Linked DNA regions of Caenorhabditis elegans. The protein of the gene in region 2 purifies or fractionates together with the protein of the main gene of each other region. This does not show direct contact. Each region holds a gene or a part of one and is shown on either strand. Other genes may lie near its edges.

Evidence for each region.
Region 1: the proteins of klo-1 (region 2) and F39H12.3 fractionate together in Caenorhabditis elegans (co-fractionation; one large-scale study listed by BioGRID). This does not show direct contact.

The regions. Positions count from the first base shown.
Region 1 is NC_003284.9:833,347-845,197, forward strand, and holds F39H12.3 (RIIa domain-containing protein), read right to left. Parts: upstream 8,148-11,851; 5' UTR 8,145-8,147; coding exon 8,000-8,144; intron 7,364-7,999; coding exon 7,299-7,363; intron 5,795-7,298; coding exon 5,717-5,794; intron 5,662-5,716; coding exon 5,573-5,661; intron 5,525-5,572; coding exon 5,363-5,524; intron 5,054-5,362; coding exon 4,960-5,053; 3' UTR 4,798-4,959; downstream 1-4,797. Other genes in the region: wdr-54 (WD repeat-containing protein 54 beta-propeller domain-containing protein), read left to right, coding at 1-152; F39H12.1 (Pericentrin), read left to right, coding at 1,443-1,638, 1,696-1,768, 2,000-2,060, 2,437-2,701, 2,752-2,900, 2,945-3,172, 3,234-3,389, 4,116-4,226 and 1 more.
Region 2 is NC_003282.8:7,739,035-7,749,903, reverse strand, and holds klo-1 (Glycoside hydrolase family 1 protein), read left to right. Parts: upstream 1-1,902; 5' UTR 1,903-1,915; coding exon 1,916-2,003; intron 2,004-2,062; coding exon 2,063-2,328; intron 2,329-2,378; coding exon 2,379-2,632; intron 2,633-2,716; coding exon 2,717-2,861; intron 2,862-2,902; coding exon 2,903-3,044; intron 3,045-3,198; coding exon 3,199-3,328; intron 3,329-3,369; coding exon 3,370-3,581; intron 3,582-3,669; coding exon 3,670-3,872; 3' UTR 3,873-3,925; downstream 3,926-10,869. Other genes in the region: C46A5.4 (Peroxidase), read left to right, coding at 1-45, 106-602, 873-1,021, 1,068-1,290, 1,417-1,690; npr-35 (G-protein coupled receptors family 1 profile domain-containing protein), read right to left, coding at 4,188-4,359, 4,521-4,648, 4,694-4,846, 4,992-5,174, 5,221-5,450, 5,719-6,007.

The DNA.
Region 1 (11,851 bases), on a different chromosome or scaffold from region 2:
AATACCGTTTCTCTGACAGCGATCCGTCCAACGTCATCATGGGAGCGCAATTCACAAATGGACGCGGGAGTGCAATTGCAATTGCCGCATTTGATAGCAACGTCTTGGTGATGTACAAGATTATCAAGAAAACTGCTGTACCTGCTACATAATTATATTTTACTGTGTATCTTCAATTAATATATCTGTATTTGGCTTTTAATATGTTTAATAACAAAAAAACATTACACTCCATGTAGTCTATTTTGCTAGCAAGATTTATCTGTAAAACTAAGATCTGAGTTGTCAAAGCATTGCTTCGCAAGACTAATAATATAATAATTATATAATTTCTCAAAAATGTATTATTCTTTTAAATTCTGGCATTCGATTATGAATTCTCTGTGCATTCTCTCTTTTTCCATTTTGAATGAATTCCATCAATATTAGTAAATGAATGAACTTGTTATTCTTTTATGTGTTTTCTAAACAAAACAGGATTCTGCTAAAAAATGTATACTAGCTTCAAAATATTGCTGTAAAAATGAAGGTTTTATTGATTCTAACTCATGAAACACTCCAAATACTAGAAATCCCGTATTTCCTCTGTTAGTCTGGCACCCCTACGGACCAATTGAAATTTAGTCTTGCATGCAAGACTAACAGAGGAAATACGGTATACATTTCTAGAAGTTGAAACGTCTTAAAAAATAATTTCTCACTATCAGCAATAGCCTTTAAAACACAATTATACCCTATTTTCCCAAAACTGACAAAACTGACATTTTTTAACCTGAAAATTTTTGATTATGTTCTTATTCGCTTTGTCAAGTTGAATAAATTGAATATTATCGTTTTTCTACAAAAATAAATATTCATAATTTATTGTTCCTCCTCAGTCAGCTAGTTATGTTTAGGACAGCTGTTCAACATTCTGCCCCTCCACTCTCTCTCTAGTTCCTCTTGACGCGTAGTGCTATTGATTTATTTTTTGGCAACATGAAAATGAAGATTTTATAGAATTTTTGCATTTTATAAGTACATTTGATTTTGAAAAATAAGGGAAGTTATATTTCGACTGTATTTTTATATCGAAACTCCAATGCCAATTTATTTTCTTGAAATTTATTTAACTGTTGATTTGTTAAAATTTTCAATATACCTAATCAGAAAGTTTTCATTTGAATTTTGAAATCTTAAAATTGTATTGTTATATTTATATTTTAATATTTATTCAACACAACAATTTTGTTATCCCAATACCTCCTGGCCTAGGTTTCTCCACGACACAATGTGTCTCTTCCATTTCCTCTGTTCAACCCAATAAAACGTGGATTCCACTAAATTCCGTCACTGCTTATCTGATTCATCTTTTCTCCTTCCGTCAGAACTTTACACAACACGCTTCTTATTTACCAGCTTTTGTCTGTTCTATTTTACCTTTTTAGTCAGTTTCAGGCACAATGAATGTTAATTGGAAAGAAGCAATACTTCAAGCACAAAAACGAATTGATCAGGTGTTGGATATCAGGCCAGAAGCAGCCGAGGTTGAAGTTGATGTGCCAGATGAAGTTCATGCTGAGCAGGAATGCTCATCTCCGTCACAAGGGTCCGAGCCATTAGCTGACGATATTGTTATGTTGGAACCTGTTTTACCGCGTAAGTTTTTCTTAAATTTAAATGAATAAATATTAATAATTAGTTCCCGTTTTCTAGCATTTCATAATAATCGATATATTGGAGATGATATTCAAACAATTATTTCATCGGACATTGAACATTTAACAAGGTAAGAATTATGTAAACATAACAATAATCTGACCATAATGATAAATTTGTGGATGTATTGACTATAATTATGAGTGCACTAACCCAACTTGGATTATGCACTGACCAACTTGACAGTTGCACTGACCAAGTTGACAGTTGCACTGACCAACTAGACAGTTGCACTGACCAAACTAACAGTTGCACTGACATTACTGGTAGATCTACTGACTAAAAGAAAACATAACTTCAGAGCATCTTCACGGACAGCGTCACCGGATCGATTACGAATAATACCAATGGAGTTTGATACGGTGAGTAGCTACATTAAATGACATCATAGTATACATAACACACAGAAAGTCACTTTCGCTAAGACAAGACAATGATCTGATCTTGAACAAGGTATCAGGGAAATCCTAGACAAGATGTGAAGCGGCAGAAACTAGATTTAAATTTAGAGTGATGGAATTTTAGATTGTGATTTGAATAATGATTTTGTTTCGGGGCGAAGTCTCAGAGCAAGTCAGGGATTAGAAAAACATCAAACTTTATCAGATCGGATCCCAATCCGTTTTGAAATTTGTAGAACGTTTTTCAACAAACAATATACTAGTAAACAGCAAAACTTAGTAATCAAGTACAATACTAATTATCATTTTTCAATACATATATTATTAAAAATTACAGGATATCTCAATATCGAGTGTTGTGAGCCCCGCTGCAGCTCTGACACCTGCTCCAGCACCGGCTCCAGCTCCAGTTGCTGTGCCAGAAGTAACATTACCAAATCCTGAAGAAATTCTCAACCAAGCAATTTATGGATTGCGGAAGGAACTAACGGAGTACAAAAAAGCAAATCAATTCTTACAACACAGCCATGCAAATCTTGAGAGAGAAATGGAGGAAAATAGATTTTCCGTGAATGAAAAAGTTGTGAACATGCTTAGTGAAGGTAAGAAATACTTTTTTAGAAAATATAGATTCAATGACTAAATTTTTCAGAACGGGATCACTTTCATCAAGAAATCTCAAATCTCAAACATACTTGCTCCCAATTAACAAAGGAGAAAATTGAATTAGAGGAAAAGTACCAAAATAGCACAGATTCGTGGCACAGAACTCAAGATGTACTTCAATATTTTAGAAACCAGGTATTTTTTTTGAAAAAATTTTGAAAATTAGGCTATTGTCTTAGATCTCACAAATGAAAGGTGCGCTACAAAAAACAGAAGAAACATTTATCAGTGATTTCGAAACTTTTGGAGCAGAAATTAAAAGAAGCTTGGAGAATCAAGCGAAGAGGAAATCCTCATCACCGAAGATTATACAATTACCCTGTAACTGTGAAAACAAGTCTCGGGAGCAAACGAATCAAGTCGTCAAACATGATGAATCTACACAAACTAAATCAGTATACATTGATGTGAGTTTTTGCTCTAATGGACAATTTTTTGCACAACCGTACTCGTAAATCAATGTTTTAGGAAAGCCATCGGTGGGAGAGAGAAGAAAAGGAAATCGCATCTTCTCCAAATGGCAAGAACGGGAATGTGACCGACCTTCTGCAGATAATTGAACAATTAGAGATGGAAAAGAGACTTCTTTTGGCGCAGAGACGAAGTGATAAAGCGGAAATTGAGGTGAGATAAAAATAAATCGTTTGGGCAAATATCGGTTTTTGCATATTAGATTAATTATTATTTCGGAGGTTAATACCGCCATCTAATCTAAATACACGCTGAATAGTCCAGCACGAGAAAAGATCCTATTACGATATTTAAATTTTGTTTAGATGTTTCAAAGTTTTAAATTAAAGTTTTTATAAAATGACAAAATTATTCAAAGATGTGTAATTTTTGAATGATTTCGAGCATTAATGCAGGTTTGAACACTGAAAATATTTGAATATGATTAATTGACTAGCGGATATATGGGCCCGCCAGCCCTTCGGGAATGGGGATAGGGTTAATTCGCTTTAAGTTATTAGCAAGGTAGCTGGCGCAGGTTCTCGGCTTCGCCTCGAACCTGTTAACGGGTTATTCGAGATCTCTTTGAAATTATTTCAGGAGTGGGGTATATGTTTAGAAAACTTGACTATTCAGGTTTGAGGCTTCGCTCGAAGCTCTTACTGTGTAAAGTGAAATCTCTTTAAACTTCGATTCATTGCTCCAGGGCCGACACTGTACGAATAACTTAGGCTGAGATTTTGTTCAAGAATAATTTGAATGTTTTCAATAAAATAAGCGTGTTTTCAATCATCACTGTGAACTACAAAAAAACGGTGAAGGAAAAGGATTACAAGTGATAAGAACTTCCGAAAATCCCAATTTTTTTCCCCAATTTCAAACAGCAATCCAATTTTTTAGAGGCTGCAAGAACAACTCAATGAGACCTTAATCATGCATGGTGAAAAGATCGAGCAACTTGATGAAATCCTCGTGGACAACGAAGAATTGAAAGATATTTTGAAGCAACAAGTAAGTTGGATCATCGAAACAACAAGATTTTACTTCCCTTTTCAGGCGTTGGCTCTCACGGACAATATTGCACAATCAGATGAAAAGGGTTCTACATAGCATTTTTCACAAGTTTATTCAATTGATTACTAATTATGTAGATTTTATATGTGATATTCAGTTGATCCGAAATGTCTTTTTTTTAGTTTTTGATTCCGATTTGGCTTTCAATTTGAATTTTTTGGTTATTGAATGAAGGGTTTACTTAAAAATTACTTTTCAGCCAAAGAACTATAACAATTTTTGTTTTTTGTAGTTAACCTGGCCCAACAGTATATTCCAATACGGTTTCCATTCATTTCTTCTGAAAATGCTGAATTAATCCAAACGGAAAACTGATTTCCATTTTAGCTTAATATGAAGAAAAAAGGTTGCCCACGTATATTACACAAGTACCGAAATTTAAAAATTTTGAAAAAAAAAACATTCACCAAAAATATTTCTTGACAAAATTTAGAACTCACTAACAGTTGTCTTTTTTTTTATTCATTTGTTCGGATAAGACTTTGATAGTGAAATCATGAAATGAACATTGTTTGTTGGTTTATTTATTAAGAGATAATGACGACGAGTGTATACGATAGGAAGTTAGAAAAATAAAAGTTAGAAAATTTGAAGACAGAAATAATATTAATCTCTGGGCATGAATTCGTTGGAAAGTCTGCGCTGTGAAAAAATTTCGAATATGGTTTTTTTAGTTGTGATCAGAATGGTCGGATTGAAGGGAAGAGTGACTTCTGGATGGAGATAGGCCCTGTTCGTCCAAGTGTTTTCGTGTCAAGAAGCCTCTGAAAAAGACTTGGAGTTGCTAAGTTTGTCATATATATCACTCGCAACATTTTCAGGTACCGTTTGATTTACTTCAAATGTCTCAAAAATTATCAAACTTCAATTTTATAGCAAGTAGGTCTCCAGCAGTTAGTTTAAATAAAATAAACAATTCCCTGTAAAATACTGTCTTCTGCATTCAATCTAATAAAACATAAAACAGTGCTACTTAACCTATGACGTTCTATAACACATTCAGAAATTTTTTGCAAGGGTATAAGTAACTATTACTGATATTTCAAGAAGCAACACAAATATTTTTAACAAACCTAATATGTGCCTGAATCTTAGTTGCCGCGTCAGTATCCTCCTTCTTCATCTTATCAACGTGCTTGCGAGTAAGAAATCCGCGAATTTCAGATTGAATCTTGGTCGCGGCTCTGTCTTCCGGAGTGTCCACATCAATGGTGTAACCTCCCACGGAATGACGCCTAAATTCATTTAGTTCAGACATTTCTATTCTATTATGTAGTACTCACTTTTGATCTTTCTTGTTGTTGGCAGAATCAAGCTTCTCAGAAGAAGAAGTTCTAGTGCTCATTCCATACTTTTCTGGGTGAGCGCGGACCTGGAACTTTACACAGTAATACTTACATACTACAAGGCAGAGGATTAAAACAAACCAAGTGTCCTTTGAAAGCGGCTTGAATTTTAGTTGCGGCAGTGTCCATTGGACTGGCTGGTCGCTCAACTTCAGCAAACTGAAATGAGAAAAGTTTGGCGCGTTGAATTTGTTTTGATATTCACTGAGTCATGTGGCTTAAAAATATAATATTCTTGGTGGTAGCGTGCAAATCATCCAACAAATTTGTTTCATTTCAAATTTTAAAACACTTAAATGTGGAATAGCGTCTGTGGGATTTTGATTTGAATGACAAAATAAAGTCTCAGTATAGCGATTATGTCACAATTTTAAATTAAAAAATATTTCTTAATTATTAACGATTTTTTAAAATTTTCCAAATATTTCAATTGATTTTCCCACAATATTGAAAAGCTTTTTTCGGTGTTTCTTTAGCTATTTAGTTGTAAACGTCAAAATGAAACACAAAAATAAATTCCTGTTAGGTTTGCCGGAAACTGCAAAGGGGGGAGCATGGTCTAAAAAATCTTATTAATGTAATTTTTGAGTCAGCGCACAACGTCTTTAAACAAATTTTAAAAATTCTCGGGAAATTTAATGTTTCTGAGAAAATTTTAGTTTTTGATCTCACTATCAGATCATGTATCACTCAGAAATATAAAAATTACTCTCTTATATGAAAACACTAAAACTGAAAATTCATCTCAAAAATGTACCTACTTTCAAAGTCAGAAAAAAATGATTGAGTCTCTATATGACATTTTTCGACTCTTTGGAACCAAAGTTCACGAATAAATCTATGTTTGGCAACGCTTTCTAATTTTTTATTCGCTATTCTCAAATGTACGCAAAAGTTTCCATATTCTGACTTTCCTAGCATCAAAGTTTTTTTTTAGTTTTAGAGTTTCAAAAAGCAAACAAGTATTTGCGTATTTTTGAAATGTAAGGAGTAGGTAAGTAATAAAAGTTTTAGAGTTCCCACTTATCGCTTTAGACAGAGTCCAGTGTATCATTTTATGTTGAATTAAAAAAATTTTTCTAAAAGTTTACCGAAATGTATGTTCCTTCACTAGTTAGTGTGAGAAGAAAACTGTTTTTACCAGATGCGGATTTTGGTATCTTATATCTAGTTTCCGTTTCATGAAAAAACGAGAAATATTTTTTTAAACTCTGTTCTTCCCAAAAGTTGAAATTATTTTTAAAATGAATTTAGATGTCGAATTATGACACCACTTATAAGGTTGAAAAAATTTCCAAAAAAAAAACGATTAAATATGAAACAGCGGGAAAATCCTCAAATAAACGTCGTGCTCAAAAATGTATCGTGTATCTACTCTCAAAGTCAGAAAAAGTGTCATTTGACATAAACATCCAATTTGACCAAACTAACACGCCAGAGCTACGAGATTAAGGAGAAAGTCACGTTAGAGTATACTTTGTTGTAACAAAGGCAATTTATGTTTTTTACGTGTTTTATTTTCCTATTTTGAAAAATTCAAATAAAATAGTTGACTGAGTCAGTGAAAAAACAAATCTGAAAGGAATAAACTTCGATAAAGCCACACGAATTATAGTATTAGTTTTTGTTTTTTTTGTGGAAATTATAAATTTTTATATCTTACCTTCTTCTGGAGATCAGCACGGAAAACTTCGTAAGCCGCTGGATCCTTTAGAATGTTCCTGTTTTCTGAAAAAAAAATGTGGGAATTATCTTTGATTCAAATTGAATTCAAGTTGAAATTTTCACTTAACAGTAAATTTTTTTGTTCGAAATTAAATGTTTATACGCCTGATAAATTTTGCTCTCTTTGAACTGCACTGAGTCTACCTTTTTTCAATTGGTGCATTAAACTTGCAATTCTTTGAAGGAAAAATAGACACACTATGAAAATTCTTGTCAAAAACAATACTTGGGAAAATGTTCTAGTGTGCATATTACTAATAATTGATGTTCTATTTTTAATCCAAAACTTTTTTTTAAAAGTGCAGTTTTAATATGAATAAGTCGGTATTTGTTTAGTAAAACAGGGGAAATACTTCATATGTACTTTCTGATTTTCTTCGAAAGAAACTTTATTTTACTTGCATGCATTTTATAATTAGCAAAATCCTACACAAAACTTGAAGGAAAATTGCGGCACAATGATGCTCAAGCTCAAAATATGAAAGTCCAGGGAAACAATTTCACATCTCATTCATGCGTGTGCGTGCCTTATTGCAAATCTGGATATCAATGGAAAAATAACTAGAATCTCGTAAATAATTCAACGGATTCTTTTCCCCAGCCTACTTTTCCCACCAAAATATATGACCAAAAGTTCACCTCTGCGATGTTTCAAGTACTCATCGAAAAACATGTGGCCAAACTCGGCCACATCCGATGGTTGACTTCGGAGTACTTCACGCGCCAACGCTTCCAAAATTGGGCGAAGATCGTGGGGAACGAAGCACTTATTCCGCTGATCCATTGCCTGAAAAATGTATAGTATAGGACTAGATTTTAGAAAACTGCTAAGCTTAAACACGTTTTTTTAAAAGCGGTAAGATCTATGAGCTTGAAAGTTGGAACTTTTATGCAATATTGTTTTACCGCGAGTTCAGAATTTATTTTTGAGAGTATCTGTGGGAAGTTGTGCAACTTGTTCGTAGATCACAGTTTATTTGATTCATTTTTTAACCCTGTTGATTTTTCTTTTCACAAAAACTATCAAAAAGAATGTCTGAACCAGCAATAAATTGTTGTGATACACTGTAGGAAACTGAAAGAAAACCAACAAATTCGTAATTTTTAAATATACGGAATTCTAATAGTATGCCTTGTAAAGTTATATAACATGAGGTTTTTTTCAGAAAACTAAAATAATTTTTAGTTGGCTTGGTGATACAAATCTAGTCTGGAGATGATTGGATTACGAAAAGATTATAAAGAAATTTTTAGTTTGCGCTGATTGACATATTAGTTTATGGTTGTTCAGATATAAATAATTTAGTGACAAAGCATAGTGGTGTGTATTGAAAAAATTTAAAATAATAGTATTTGACGTGAAAAATATAAAACACAGTGTAAAGAAACTTTCGCATGTAAAACGTTGTTTAAATTTGGTTAAAAACACAGAGCTGTTCGGTAATGGGCAGACGCCAATTCATACTAATTCATATTTGGCAGAGTTATTGTTGACATCAAACTTCAAAATGTTATGGGAAAAATGATGCTTGCTTCTTTTCAAATTTCTAAACATGGTACTCACATTATAAAATATTAGGAAACTTTGCCATTGACAATTGAAAAAAAAAAAATAATTTTCAACCGGCTATTTTTAATTTTTAGACCGTTTCATAAAAATGGCTGAAGTGGCACGGCGTTGGACCAAGGGTTTATTTTTTAACTCTGAAGCAAAACTTTTAGCACAATTTTATACTAATAGTCATTTTATGATTTCGTATCACAAAAATATGATTAGCTATTTAAATTTGGCATATCAAAGTTGAAATCTTATTTTTACTAGTCGTGGTAGATCTTAAGTTTTTACATATAATTCTCCTCATTGATTGATTGAAAAACATTTGTTATCTAAAATGTTATAGGATTAGTGATAAAACTTATGAACGCTATTGCTATGGTGATTCTAAATTCAATAAAAAATCTAGCTCGATTTGACAAAATACTATTATTTTCTAGTTGAAATGATAAAGGCTCTTTTTATCAAAGTTAGGCTTAGGAGAAGTGTTTTTCTAAGGCTAAAAATGCGAATGAATTCCACGTTTCTAATTGGAAAATATTTCTGGAAGAGCTAGGTATACAACACACATACCAAAAAATCTTTAGTTAGTTAGGTTCTCAGAAAGTATTCCATTTTTGCTGCTGTTAACCAGCGTTTTTGAGATTTGTAAAATCAGTTGATCAGAATTTCAGACAAAATTTCAAAGTTACATAAGTTGTAAACCTTTTCTCGTGGTCAAAATGCTTGACTTTTGTTTGAAATGCTTGACTTTTGTTTTAATCAAAGTATTTGCCGTTGAAAACCTCACACAGAGGTATAGCTAACCGTTAGATATAATTGAAAAAAATCGAAATGATTTCCAATTTTACCAGCAACTGATAAGGAAGACAAATGTTTTTCCGTATAACAAACCAATACTAAAACTTGTTGTGAAAACTTTTCAGAAACCAAGAAAAAATGATTTTGTGCGAAAGCAGCAGAATGAGATGAAATCGGAAGCGGGAAGACAAAAAACGAACAGAAAAAAAACGTTTGTCATGTTTAGATGTTTTCTTTCACTAAGCTTCCTTCTTCTCCAAAAACGTCAAAGACACTGCCGGAAATCTGGGCGACATCGATTTTTCTTGTGCTCTTGCTCACCAGAGCTTAGGAGCACTACACTATCTCTCTCATTGCCTTCGTTTTTTTTTGCGAGAAATTTAGACGAAATTTCGGGAAATTAACAGAAGGAGGGGGTTTGTGTAGATAGAGCAGAGCGCGTTGAATGTCTGAACACTAAGCGGAGGGAAACAATTGAAGAATTTTATTCGGAGAAACTAGGTTTTAGTTTCGCAAATTGAAAATTGTTTTTCTCAAATTAAACATGGGGGAGGAAAAATGAGACGAAGAGCTCAGCTGACTTAATCATGAACAAAGAACTCTCAAGTTTTAATGGATTGAAAGTGAAAACGGGGATCTAGATATAAAATATGTTGAGTACATTTTTGAAAATGAAAGAAATAAGTTTATTGGAAAAAATAGGATTTTGCTTGGACCGCATGTAGGCACTGACCAAAGTAGTGCTTGCACTGACCAAAACGGTAAATACACTGACCAATACTAAAAGTGCACTGACAAAAACGAATATCTTATTTCTAACTGCACTGATAAGTACAAGTATTAAAGAAGGGGAAAAACTGACTAACTTTACAATTTTAAGCGGAAGACTTTCCACTTTCTGAATGTCGATACGAAATTTTTCCGGGGCCTCTAGAATTACTCCTAAAGCTACTTATTATATGTTTTGTTACTATTTGATGATGTTTAGAAATCTGTTAAAACTTTTTCAAAATAATTATATATTTTTATCGAAGAAAACATTTTTTTGAATGAAAAAAATGAGCGAAATTTTTTTTTTTTCAAAACATTGAAATACTTAAAATGCTTTCAGAATCTACATCTACATCTGAGCACACCAAAAATATCAAAAATAGACATTTAAATCTTTTAATAAATTTTACATACCTAGTTTAAGTCTAGTCTAGAGTACTCTGAAAAATTTAAGTATGGAAAGTAGATCATTTTTGGTGTAACTTTTTGTTAGAACAAAAAATTTTGTTAAGTTAAATAAAAAGTTTCCTTCGTGAAAAAATCCCAGCATTTATTGAAAATTCCTTTTTTTATTGCACTGACAATTTTGCAAAATAAACTTCAAAAAAATAGAACTGCAATCATCTAATGTATAGTTCTAATGGAAAAATTGAAAGTTGAGATTACGGTAGCTTTATAAGCAACACACAAGTACGAAAAAAGAAGGCTCGGAGTATTAAGAAAAAACGAAAGAAAAAAAGAAACTTGTTAGGTTTACAATTTACTACTTTTTTATTCACTGAACAAATTCAATGTGAAGCCAAAGGAGGCGGGTGCCGTGTGAGGTAGAAAGGAAAAGAGCTTCAATGAGGGAGGGAGGCAAGAGATGGAGATATCGACAAGAAATGTTGCTCTTGCTCTCACACGATCTGCCCCCGTCTCCTGCCCCTCCCTTTTTCCTTCATCTCGGCTCCGGTGGGGTCGGCTTTTCCCATTTTGCCCCGTGGCTTCTTCATCCTGCACACACGGAGCAGGAAGCCCGAAGCAACCAAGAGCAACCGCCCCATATGATTTCTAATAAAATTGCGACTGGACGGAAGAGATCTGAGAAGGAGTCAAGTGAATACGTATATGGGTGGATGAATTCATAAAAAGTGTTTAGCAGAGGGAAATTCTGAGAATTTGGAATGTATACTACGTGGGTGTATAGCCAAGAGGCTGAGAGAGTAAAGTTGCATTTGGGACCGAGTGTGTCATCAAAAAACTCAGATTGTATTATGATTTTTTAAATTTTTAGGAAATGATCAAGAATTAATACTATAATTTTTTAAGTTTAAAAAATGTACGGAAAATGAAACTATAAATTTATGAAATATGCTGAAAAG
Region 2 (10,869 bases):
TTGAAGCAAATAAATAATTTCTGGAGTGACGAGAAGCTCTTCCAGGTTAGTTGCAATTCTTGAATGTTGTATTGAAATTCCTATATAAACCCACCTAGTTTATAGGAATCCCGTCGAATCAACATTGCACAACTTCAACACATTATTTACAAAGAATGGTTGCCAGTGGTTCTTGGTTGCCAGAATATGGAAAAATGGGGTCTAATGCCACAAACAGCTGGATATTTTGAGGGTTACGATGATCAATGTGATGCCACAATATCCCAAGAAATGTCAACATCTGCATTTCGATTTGGACATTCTTTGATCCGTGGTGTATTCACACGAATGAATGACAATTTCCAAAACATGACAAATCATGTAAATTTAACTGAAACTTTTTCGAATCCATCTCCAGTTTACGATAAGAACTCCGGTCATATGGAGTCAATCTTAATGGGATTAATTGGAGCAAACAGTATGGCTTTTGATCGTCATATTGTCACGGCTGTTCGGAATCATTTGTTCGCAAAACCTGGTGGTCCACTAACTGGACTGGATCTTCCAGCAGTGAATATTCAAAGAGGCAGAGATCACGGAGTTCAAGGTTACAATGCATATAGGTTTGTATTTCAATTTAAATTTTATAAAACCGGCAGTAGATGAAAATGCCTACATTTGTGGCGCGAAATGTCTCCAAGCATATCTTTACGTTTTGCGTCAACCGTTTCTGTCATCACAATTTAGCAATTTCCCTAGTTGTTCACTTGGGTTTCTTAGGCGAAATATTTAACACATAATTACGAGATTAAGTGGTTAACCTCGATGGGTATCGGCTGAGCATATTGTTCGCATGTAAACATTTCAAATTTATATTTTAAGAAGTATTTCAGAAAACACTGTGGACTTCGAAAAGCATCGGCTTTCTCTGATCTTCGTGATGTCATGAACTCAGAAGCTGTGACAGCTTTAGAAACAGCTTATGCTCATGTTGACGACATTGACCTGTTCCCGGGAATCATGAGTGAATCTCCAACTAGAGGTGACCCGGAATTTCTACTTGTTGCTTTTTTAAAATAATTATTAAGGCTCACTTGTTGGCCCAACATTAGCATGTCTTATTGGTGAACAAATGCAAAGATTGAAAAAATGCGACAGATTTTATTATGAGACAAGTGATTCAATGGTTCGATTTACTCCAGATCAACTTGTCGAAATTCGAAAAGCCAGTTTGTCAAGAATTATTTGCGATAATAGTGAATATGCCGCAAATATTCAACCCAATGTGTTCCTTATGCCAGACGATCTTACGTAAGTTGGAGATTTATTGAACAGGTCTATAAATGATCATTTTCAGTTTAATAAACATTTTTAAAAAATTTAAAAAAACAGTTTTCTTATTAATAATTAGTTCAAAAACTTAAATATAATTTTCAGAAACTCTCCGATGACATGCTCTGAACTTTCTGAGATTGACCTGAACAAATGGGTTGAACGAGACTATTGCCTTGTTGATGAACGTGTAGTTAATCGTGGAAAAACTAAACGAATAACTCCATGTATCACCTGTACATGTACATTAGAAGGTCCTGAATGTCATTCAATCACAATTGATGATTGTTCTCGTCTTCTTCGTGATTACTCAATCACTGATATTCAAAAGGATCCAGTTTGCCTCATTCAATGCTCTCAGCAACTCAAAAAGCTTTGAAATAATTTATTTATTTTTTATCAAACTCTAATTTTGATATTCTGACCTCTTACAGTATTCGTTCAAACCTTCTGGTATTCCATTTCATGTACATAAATAATATGATTTTCCATACCTCTATTATCAGGCACAAACAATGTTCATTTACATAACCCGATTGAACACAACTGTTGACACACAAAATACCTCTTATCAGTTATCATTCCGTCGATGTCTTGTTCGGTTATGTCTTTGCCAACTAAATTTCCAAAAAATTTCCAATTGGCTACGGCTACCGCGGCGTATCAAATTGAAGGTGCAAAAAATCTAGATGGTAAGTTTATTTTGAATTAAAAATTATTCTTTTAGAAATTTACTTCTGAAATCATTAAGGCCGCGGATTCAGTACTTGGGATTCAATTCGTTCTGAAAATGGTAGAATTCATGATAACTCGGACCCTGATCTTTCCTGTGAAGGTCGTCTAAAATACAAAGAAGACGTTGCTCTTCTCTCAAAAATCGGTGTCACCAGCTACCGATTTTCAATTTCTTGGTCCAGAATTCTTCCAGATGGAACTTTAAAAACAATAAATGAAGATGGCATTCAATTCTATCGTGATATTTGTCTTCTACTACGTGACAATGGAATTGAGCCAATTGTATGTAATAATTTCTTTGAAACATAAAAAAGCGAAAACATGTTATTTAGGTGACACTGTTCCATTTCGACATGCCTCTTTCAATTTATGACAATGGAACATCATGGCTAAACAAGGAGAATTGTGAACATTTCGAGAAATTCGCAGATTTATGTTTCCAAAAGTTTGGAGATCTTGTGAAGACATGGATAACTTTCAACGAAATAAACATGCAGGCTTGGTCATCAGTTGTAAAGATTGAAGGAGAACTTTGGTTATGCCCAGATCGTCCAGAAATCGAGAATCATGAACAAGCACCTTACATGTCAGTTTCTGAAGAAAAAAACCTTTGAAAGCGAAGGAAAAAACAAATGTTTTGGAATAAGCTGATTGAATATTTTATTTTCAGTGCAGCCACCAACATGCTTCTTACTCACGCAAAAATTTATCGAAACTACCAGAAAAACTACAAAGAAACTCAAAATGGCTTGATCGGAATAACAAATGGTGGAAGATTCTGTCTACCTGCTTCAGATTCTCCTGCAGATCTTGATGTTAGTCAAACTATTGACTTCCTTACTTTAATGATTTGCAGGCATGTAATCGAGCGCTGGATTGGCTCTTCAATTATACAATTGAACCAATTTTGACTGATTCCGGAGACTTCCCAGCCTCAATGAGAGAAAAATTACCGTTTCTACCAAAGTTCTCTGAAGAAGAAAAGAAACTCATCAAAGGTTAGCTGTCGATCGGAAATTTTTGATTTTAAAAAGATTAGTTAACTTTTTTTTTCTAAGTTAGCCTTGCACCATATTGGCAGCTCTAAATTCATTTTGCTGATATATTTTACCAATTATAATTTTCAATTTTTTTCAATTATAATTTTTTCAGGAAGCACTGATTTCCTGGGAATAAACTATTATCTCAGCCACATTGTTCGTAATTTAAATGATGGGGAGGAGCCAGCATCTCAATCAGAAAGAGACGCAGCTTATGCGTTTAATGAAGGAAAATGGGAAAAGTTGGTTTTTTCAAGTTCTCCTATAACCAAGAAATTTGCAGAATTTGTGGTGAGACATGGGTTCGTTATGCACCAGACGGTTTGTTCGGGCTTTTGAAATATGTTAGAGACAAGTACAATAATATTCCTGTATTCATCACTGAAAATGGATGTATGGATTTGGTAGGAGGTGAAGGAAGAAAAGAAGAGGAGATACTTGATGATAAGCATCGCATAAAATTTATTTCCGGACATTTGGAAGCGGTAGCTAAAGGTAAATTAAATTTGAAAAAAGTTTCGAAAAATAAAAAAACAATGATATTCAATTAATTTTTGGGAAACTTCGATCACTTGAATTTCAGCACTGGAAGAAGGATGTAATGTCATTGGCTACACACTCTGGACTCTGATGGATAATTTCGAATGGGATGACGGATTCGGTGTTAAATTTGGAATTTGTCGCGTCGATTTTGATTCTCCAGACAAAACAAGAACCATGAAATATTCGGCTAAATATTATCAAACTTTTATTCGCGAATTTAAAAAGCATCATAATCTTTTGTAGAATGGATACAAATGTATTGATAATAAATAGATTGCATGCTAGTAAAAACATTTAAAGCATTTGTGATGGTTGAAACAATAGAAAACACGTGGAAATGGAAAACCGTAATTGAAAAAAGGAACATGGAAAACGTTTAGTTGTAGGAAACAGTTGATTAAAAAAAAACTTTCTCTATTGTTGATTAATACACTACATAATTTTTTAATTCAATCCGTAATAATGTTTTCATGTTTTCGAATACCTAAGATTCTGAAAATGTTTGAACTCCTAACGTTCTAGATATAAAAATATTCATATTCAATGATTTTAAAAAGTTTAACAATCAGAAGTAGATCTTTCCACCTGTTTTCCATCTAGTTCAATAAGTAAACTAGATGCTCCACCTAAATTTGTTGGTTCAGTTCCAAAATTAGACATTGAAATTGTTGCAGTTGATTTGAAGCCACGAGAGTGACGACGGAGTATTGTGCTTCGGACTCTTTCGTATCTGAAAATATACCGATTATTTGAAAATAAATTTAGTCTTAAAAATAAACGTTAGAAACGCATTTTACAGGAAAATGCATTTACAAGAGATAAATAATACATTTGAATAAAACTAATAAATACAAAAGAAGTAAACTAAAAGTGTCAAAAGCTTTTGCTCACCTTGTCTTACATGGCATCAGTAATATACTTTTGAAAGCTCTTCTGTACTTGTGACTGTATGCAATATAAATTATTGGATTTAAAGAACTCGATAGTAATGACATCCATTGGAATATTGGCCGAATCAACTGAAATTCTTGCTTTTTTAATAAGATAAATATGTAAACAGCTACCATTGAAGTAATTTGAAAAAGATCCGATCGCTGATCAGCAAAGAAGAAAAAATATGTGAAGATGCAATAGAGAGGTAACCAGCAACAAGCAAATACAATTATTACTGTTAACATCATTGTGGCAACTCGTAGTTTTACTCGATCTTCTCGGGCCTAAAAATATTAATATCAATTTACACATAGAAATTTAATGGAATCATTCTAATATCTAGTTTTTGCTAAAAATTTAAAAGAGCCTCGTAAAATAATTTCTTGGCTATCGATTTTTTTGATTTGTTTAAAAATATATAAAACTTACTCTTGCATCAACTGCCAGACTTCTATGTGTTGATACAGTGATAAATATTCTCGTGTATAGACCCGAAATCAAACCAAATGGAACTATGAAAGCCAGCAATAAGTTAACAAATAAAAAATATAATTTTTGATCCGTTTGTGACGTACATAATCGGTAACCATAACTGCCTTCTTGCCATACTATCTGAAATGCATTTTTTGAAAAAAAAACAACGATTTTAAATTTATACCAAATCATAGTTATACCAATTAGGTATTCCGAATATTGCAGCTACTAGCCAAACAGCAAATATAACATATTTTGTATATTCTCGATCCCAGCTAGTGTTGTATTTCAACGTATGGCAAATAGCTAGATAACGATCAGCCGTCACTGCAACCAAGGTGTAAACTGATGCAAATGACGTAGATGCGTTAGCCCATGTGGACAATCGGCAGAAAAATTGACCCCAAAGCCATTCTGAAAATATAAAGCTGTTTTCATTAAAAACGGAAATTTTGCCAAAATATCCCTATAATAGTCTTTTGAGAACCACTTTCAAAAAATGTCAAAATTCTCTGTCAAATTGCCAAAAATTTTAAAAATATTTGATTTTTTGAGAAATTTTGAGCACTGCTGCAGAATTCATACAAAGGATACGATTTTTGCTCAATTTCAAAATTTTTGATTCACACCGAAAACTGAGTAAAAAGTTATTCTGGAAAAATAATTTAAAAAATAACCTTACCTGTGAAAATGCTATTAATCAACGTAGTTGGCAGACAAATCCATAAAATAAACAGATCAGCAAGTGCAAGAGACAAAATTAGATAATCCGTGGTTATATTTAAATTCTTATGAGCCCAAACCGCTAAGACAACAAACGTGTTTCCAAGTACACCAGTGAAGAATACAGCTCCATATGCAACTGTATAAAGAACAGTTAGTTGATATGAATGTCTAAGTAGAGGGACTGGTTCAAGTTGTTCAACATCTGCATATAATGGCTCTACAAATGACGTATTCATTGTTTCCATTTGAACAGTTGCAAAAGTTCAAAAATTTGACATTGGCAGTTTTGGAGATTTTCTGAAATAAATGTATCTTTAAATAACCTGCGGAAGTTGAGTAGAGCATCAAAATCAGAATATAACAACTAATAAAATACAAAATACAAATTACTAGAAAAAGAGAGAAAAAAGAGAAAAATGATGATGGATAAGAAAAAGAAGAAGCCGTCTGAAGATAACCCAATGAAATGACGAAATGCATTAGTAGCGTCCCCCAAGAGAAAAAAGTTTCCCAATGAATTAAGGACGAAAATGAAATAGTTTTGACAATGAACTCAGTATCTATCATGTTAAGATATGATATTGCTACCTACAGTTGTGTCTATAATATCCGTTTTCGGGCTTTGCTTATTTGTAGAAAACCCTTGTTCTAACAAACGTTACAAGTGAATATAGCAAGAACGAGATCGCTGAATTCCGGCCGTTGTATCATCTGTCCAGAATGTTGTGAAATGATCAACATTGTTTTAACATGCAGACAACATTATAAACATCAACTTTACAGTTAAACTTTTTAAAGGTTCCACGTTTTTAGTTATACTCAGTCTAAAAAGTTAAAAAACGATTATGTGATAAACGAAGCATGTAGATACTCTTGGACACCATTCTAGCTTTACCCATTTTAAATGTCATTTGATGAATTCCTAAATGTTTCTGTTTCATTTATTGAATAAATAGGGAGGAAGATACTAAAAAACAGTTTTAGTGGGATTTGACCAATCCGTTTCGGATGACACAAACTGAGTTATAATATTGTAGTGTAGAAAAGTGAAAATGTGCTTTGTCATTAATTGATGCTCGTCTTGATTTCTTGTAAATTCTTTTGGCGGCAAGCTCATAGAGCCTAGGATCACATGAAAAGGTGGAGAAGAAAATAGAAAAAGTGTGAAGAAACCGCCCTCTATCATCATCATTGCCGGCACTTCCTTTGCCCCCTGCACCCAAAACTATATTGAGCCAATTACTACTGACTAATAGTTTGAGGACTCTGAGATTCTTGGAAAATCTGAGAAAATATAAAAATAAGAGAAAAGAGCAAAGATACATAAAAAAACATGTGTTGAAACAGAGAGATACGAAAACAGAGAAACTTGTCAAGCGGTCATGATGGGATATAAAAAGAGATGAAGTCACTGGGTAAATAGATTACGGACACTGGAAAACGGACAGAAATGGAATAAAAGTGTTCGTTTGACGGAAATATTTGGGTTCGAGTTGTAAATGTGATTTATATATTGAATTTGGAAGTTTGACAGGGATAATGTTCTTCTCGACCACAATGTAATAGTTTTTAAAAGTGCACTATTGTCTTAAAACACTCCAAAACTTTCTTAGATTTTTCAAAATCTTTAGTCAAAGTCAGCTTGCAAAATTTTCCAACTTTTCAACTTTTCAACAAATCAACTTTTCGAGCATCGCTGTAGGTACTAGACCAGGGGGTGTGCATCAAATCTCTAAATTTGCCGAGCTCGGTGGACAGCAATTTTGGAAAATTTGCCGCACGCCCTTGTGCTAGAGGACTCTGAAAAATTTCCCACGAACTCATCAAATATTCACTAAAAAGACTCCAACAAAAATCCTGACACAATTCTCTTGAATTCGAGACTTTCAGGTAACAACATTATTACGTGAAACTAGAATTTCGGCTCCTTGACTTTTCTAATGTTTTTGAAAAACAACGAAACTTTGTAACAGATTCGAGAAAAATGTCTTGTATTTGAACATTTTGTGAGCCTTTTCGAGCAACATTAAAGTTGAGGGTAAGAATTTTCATATCTCAAAATTTCAAAAAGTACAGAATTATCTCGGAATTATCAATTGGAATAATGTGCATGAATGTTTGATCAGTATCAAGGAATTTTTCAGGCAAATAATGTGTTCATGAAATTTCAGCATGAATAATCAAAATGAGATATTGAAAATATTACTGAAATACTATTTCGCTTAGTTTAGTCCGAAGAAATTTATAGATGATTTCCTAGCAAAATCACAGTTGTTCAAACTTTTCTATCGGGAAGTTTTACAGAAATTTCAGTTTAAACACACTCCAGCTTCATTCATGGTGGAAACAGAAATTAATTGGAAAACAAATAAATTTCACGTTTCAATCTTGTTTTGAAAAAAAACAATTTTTCTCAACTTTCACAATTCGCATACTCTGAAGAATTTTAGAAAATAACACTTATCAGTATAATACAAATATCTCTTTGTCGATAATCCACATTAAATTAATCTTTAAATATCAAAAATGTTTTTGACTGAATCTGCTTTCGAACTATGACATTCGGAAGAAAAAACACAAAATTTCTGACAATAGGTGTCATATTTATTTTTAATTTTGATTTTGACACTTCTTGTTATTTAAACCCATAATGAACTGAATTAGATAAAACTGTCGATCAAAGATAGAAATAGGTGAACGGTAGAACATTTTCAACATCTTCAGAGAAAGATTGCCAAATAAAAAATACCGTAATTTCTCTTGAAAGAAAAACTCGTTTTAAAATTTTTTAACTACATACATTGTCGCTATTAAGTTACTTTCACTCCAAAAAAAGTAAAAATTTCAGAAACTCCAAGAAAATGAAATTTTGTGAGAAAACTTTTTTTAAAAAAAATTTCCGTTTCAAACTAAAATGAAACCAAAATGAGAAGGAGGAGACGGAGTTTTTCGTCAATTCATTTCAACCTCTCCCACTTTTTCCAAACATTTTCTTTGTCTTTCGACCCTTATTTCCATATTTTCCAGTGGCTCCCACACACGTCAAAAAGAGAAGTTAATAGCCGAGACCGACGGAAAACACAAATCTCTGAGAGAATGAATGAAAACGTTGGAATTCGGAGAATTTGTGTTTCTGGAAACTTCAAAAGTATGATTTGAATAGTTTCAACTTGACTTTCACACATTTTTTATTCAAATTGAATTTGAAATGTCTATCTAAAAATCATATAACTTCCATATCAATTTTGATAGCTCAGCTAGTTTCTAGAGAAATTGGGGAAAATGTTTAAAAGTTTTAAAATTTTAGACCCATCATGACCCCTTGGCATAAAAATAGTCCACACAGTTTTGGCATATTTTGACAAAAAATTGAAGTGTTAAAAGATTGAATAACAATGTTTCTATATTTCTTCGAATTCACTTATACATATAAAAGCAAGATTTTTCTTCCGAGACAGCTTGAACTTCTTAGAACTTGTTTTTTTTTCAGTTTTTGAGAAAACTAGTAAAAGAAGAATCAAATAGAGAGATTCCCCAATGGGACACTTGAAATAAACCATAGTTTACTCTTGACATGTATACACCTTTTTGATTTATTGCTGTCATTTGTTGGCAATGTTCCAAATATAGGAAAATATGAGAAAAAGATGGAAAGAATTGGCCATAGAAATGAGGACTACAAAAGACTGATTGCTCTTGACTTGTTCTTTTAAACAAAAAAAGAAAGAAACAGTGTAAACTAGACATCAAAAATCAGAAAATAAATGAGAAGTCCCTAAATTTTAAAATATGAAATACTCGTCTTAACACAAGGATTAACATTTCAAAAATTTATACTGTGCGCGCTTCAAAGTTTTGAAACATTTTTCATCATTTTTTTCGAAGTTTTGAAGTTTTCTCAAACAAATCCCAAGTATGATCCTTTTGAAGAAGTTTCGAATAATGGAATCTAATAGCCTCGCTTCAAAAAATGCACGTTTAAAAGAAATGTGCAAAAGCTCACTTGAACCTTCATTTTTGCGCAACCTTTTCTTGCAAAGCCGGGTTTTTCCCTTTCTATGAGAAACTTTTAACAAGAGTGAAAGTTTGAAATGAAAGGAAAGTTCAGAAAACATAAAATCAAAATTTTTTTTTCCAGAAAAAAAGAACATGAATTTTCAAGAAGTTCTCAATGGATTATACTGGATCATTTTAAAATCATCAAAATTTTGCATTAATTCACTTTTGGAGCAACTTTATTGCAAAAATGAACTGAGCAAGTTTCAGATCGACTTTTTTAAAGTTCAATTTGCTTATCTGCTGCTAAACCTTTTGTAGTGACTTATTTTTAAAATACACTTTTGAATGGCATTCGTTCAAATTTTTGAAAATTGCAGTATCACGGTAAGTTTACATAGACCTCACAGTTAATTAAGAAAAAGAGAGCGAAGAAATCGAAACAAATTTTGAAAACGTTTTTTCCAGTTTTGTATGATTTGATCTTTCTGATCATTAAATATACACAACAAGTCGGCATTTCCTTATTTATACAACCTGAGAAAATTAATGTGTCTCGAAATCGGAAATAAGCAACTTCCTCGGATTTTGTTGTTTTCTAGAATTTTCTAGGCTTCTTTATTTCTACGATGTTATTTCAAAATAATTTTGATTGGACAAATACTTATTCTAATGAACAATCACCGGTGTTTTAGAAACACATCACCCTAGAAATGGACTTTGTTAACTGAAATTCGGATCTCTAATAAATAGAAATTGATTACTAAGTTGTTTATATTACTTAAATCTATCACTATCACAAATGTCTACTTTCTTCCTGTCAATAACATGAGAAATACGAGGCGTCAAACCGAAAACGTGTGCGTTTGAGAGTAGCCGTCGACAGAAATTTTGGGGCCAGTATATATGGCAACAACAAAATCTAGTTAGGGAAAAGCTTCTACGTCTTTGCCCATCTTCTCTGGAAGAAAGCGTAAAAATTTGCCAACAATAACCGAAGCTAACAAATAAATGCACACCGAAGAATAAGTTGTTGGAAACTTGGGGAAAAAAAGAGAGGCATATAAAGAAATGTTAGAAAGTATTCTGAAAATAGAGAAGGTTGGACAAG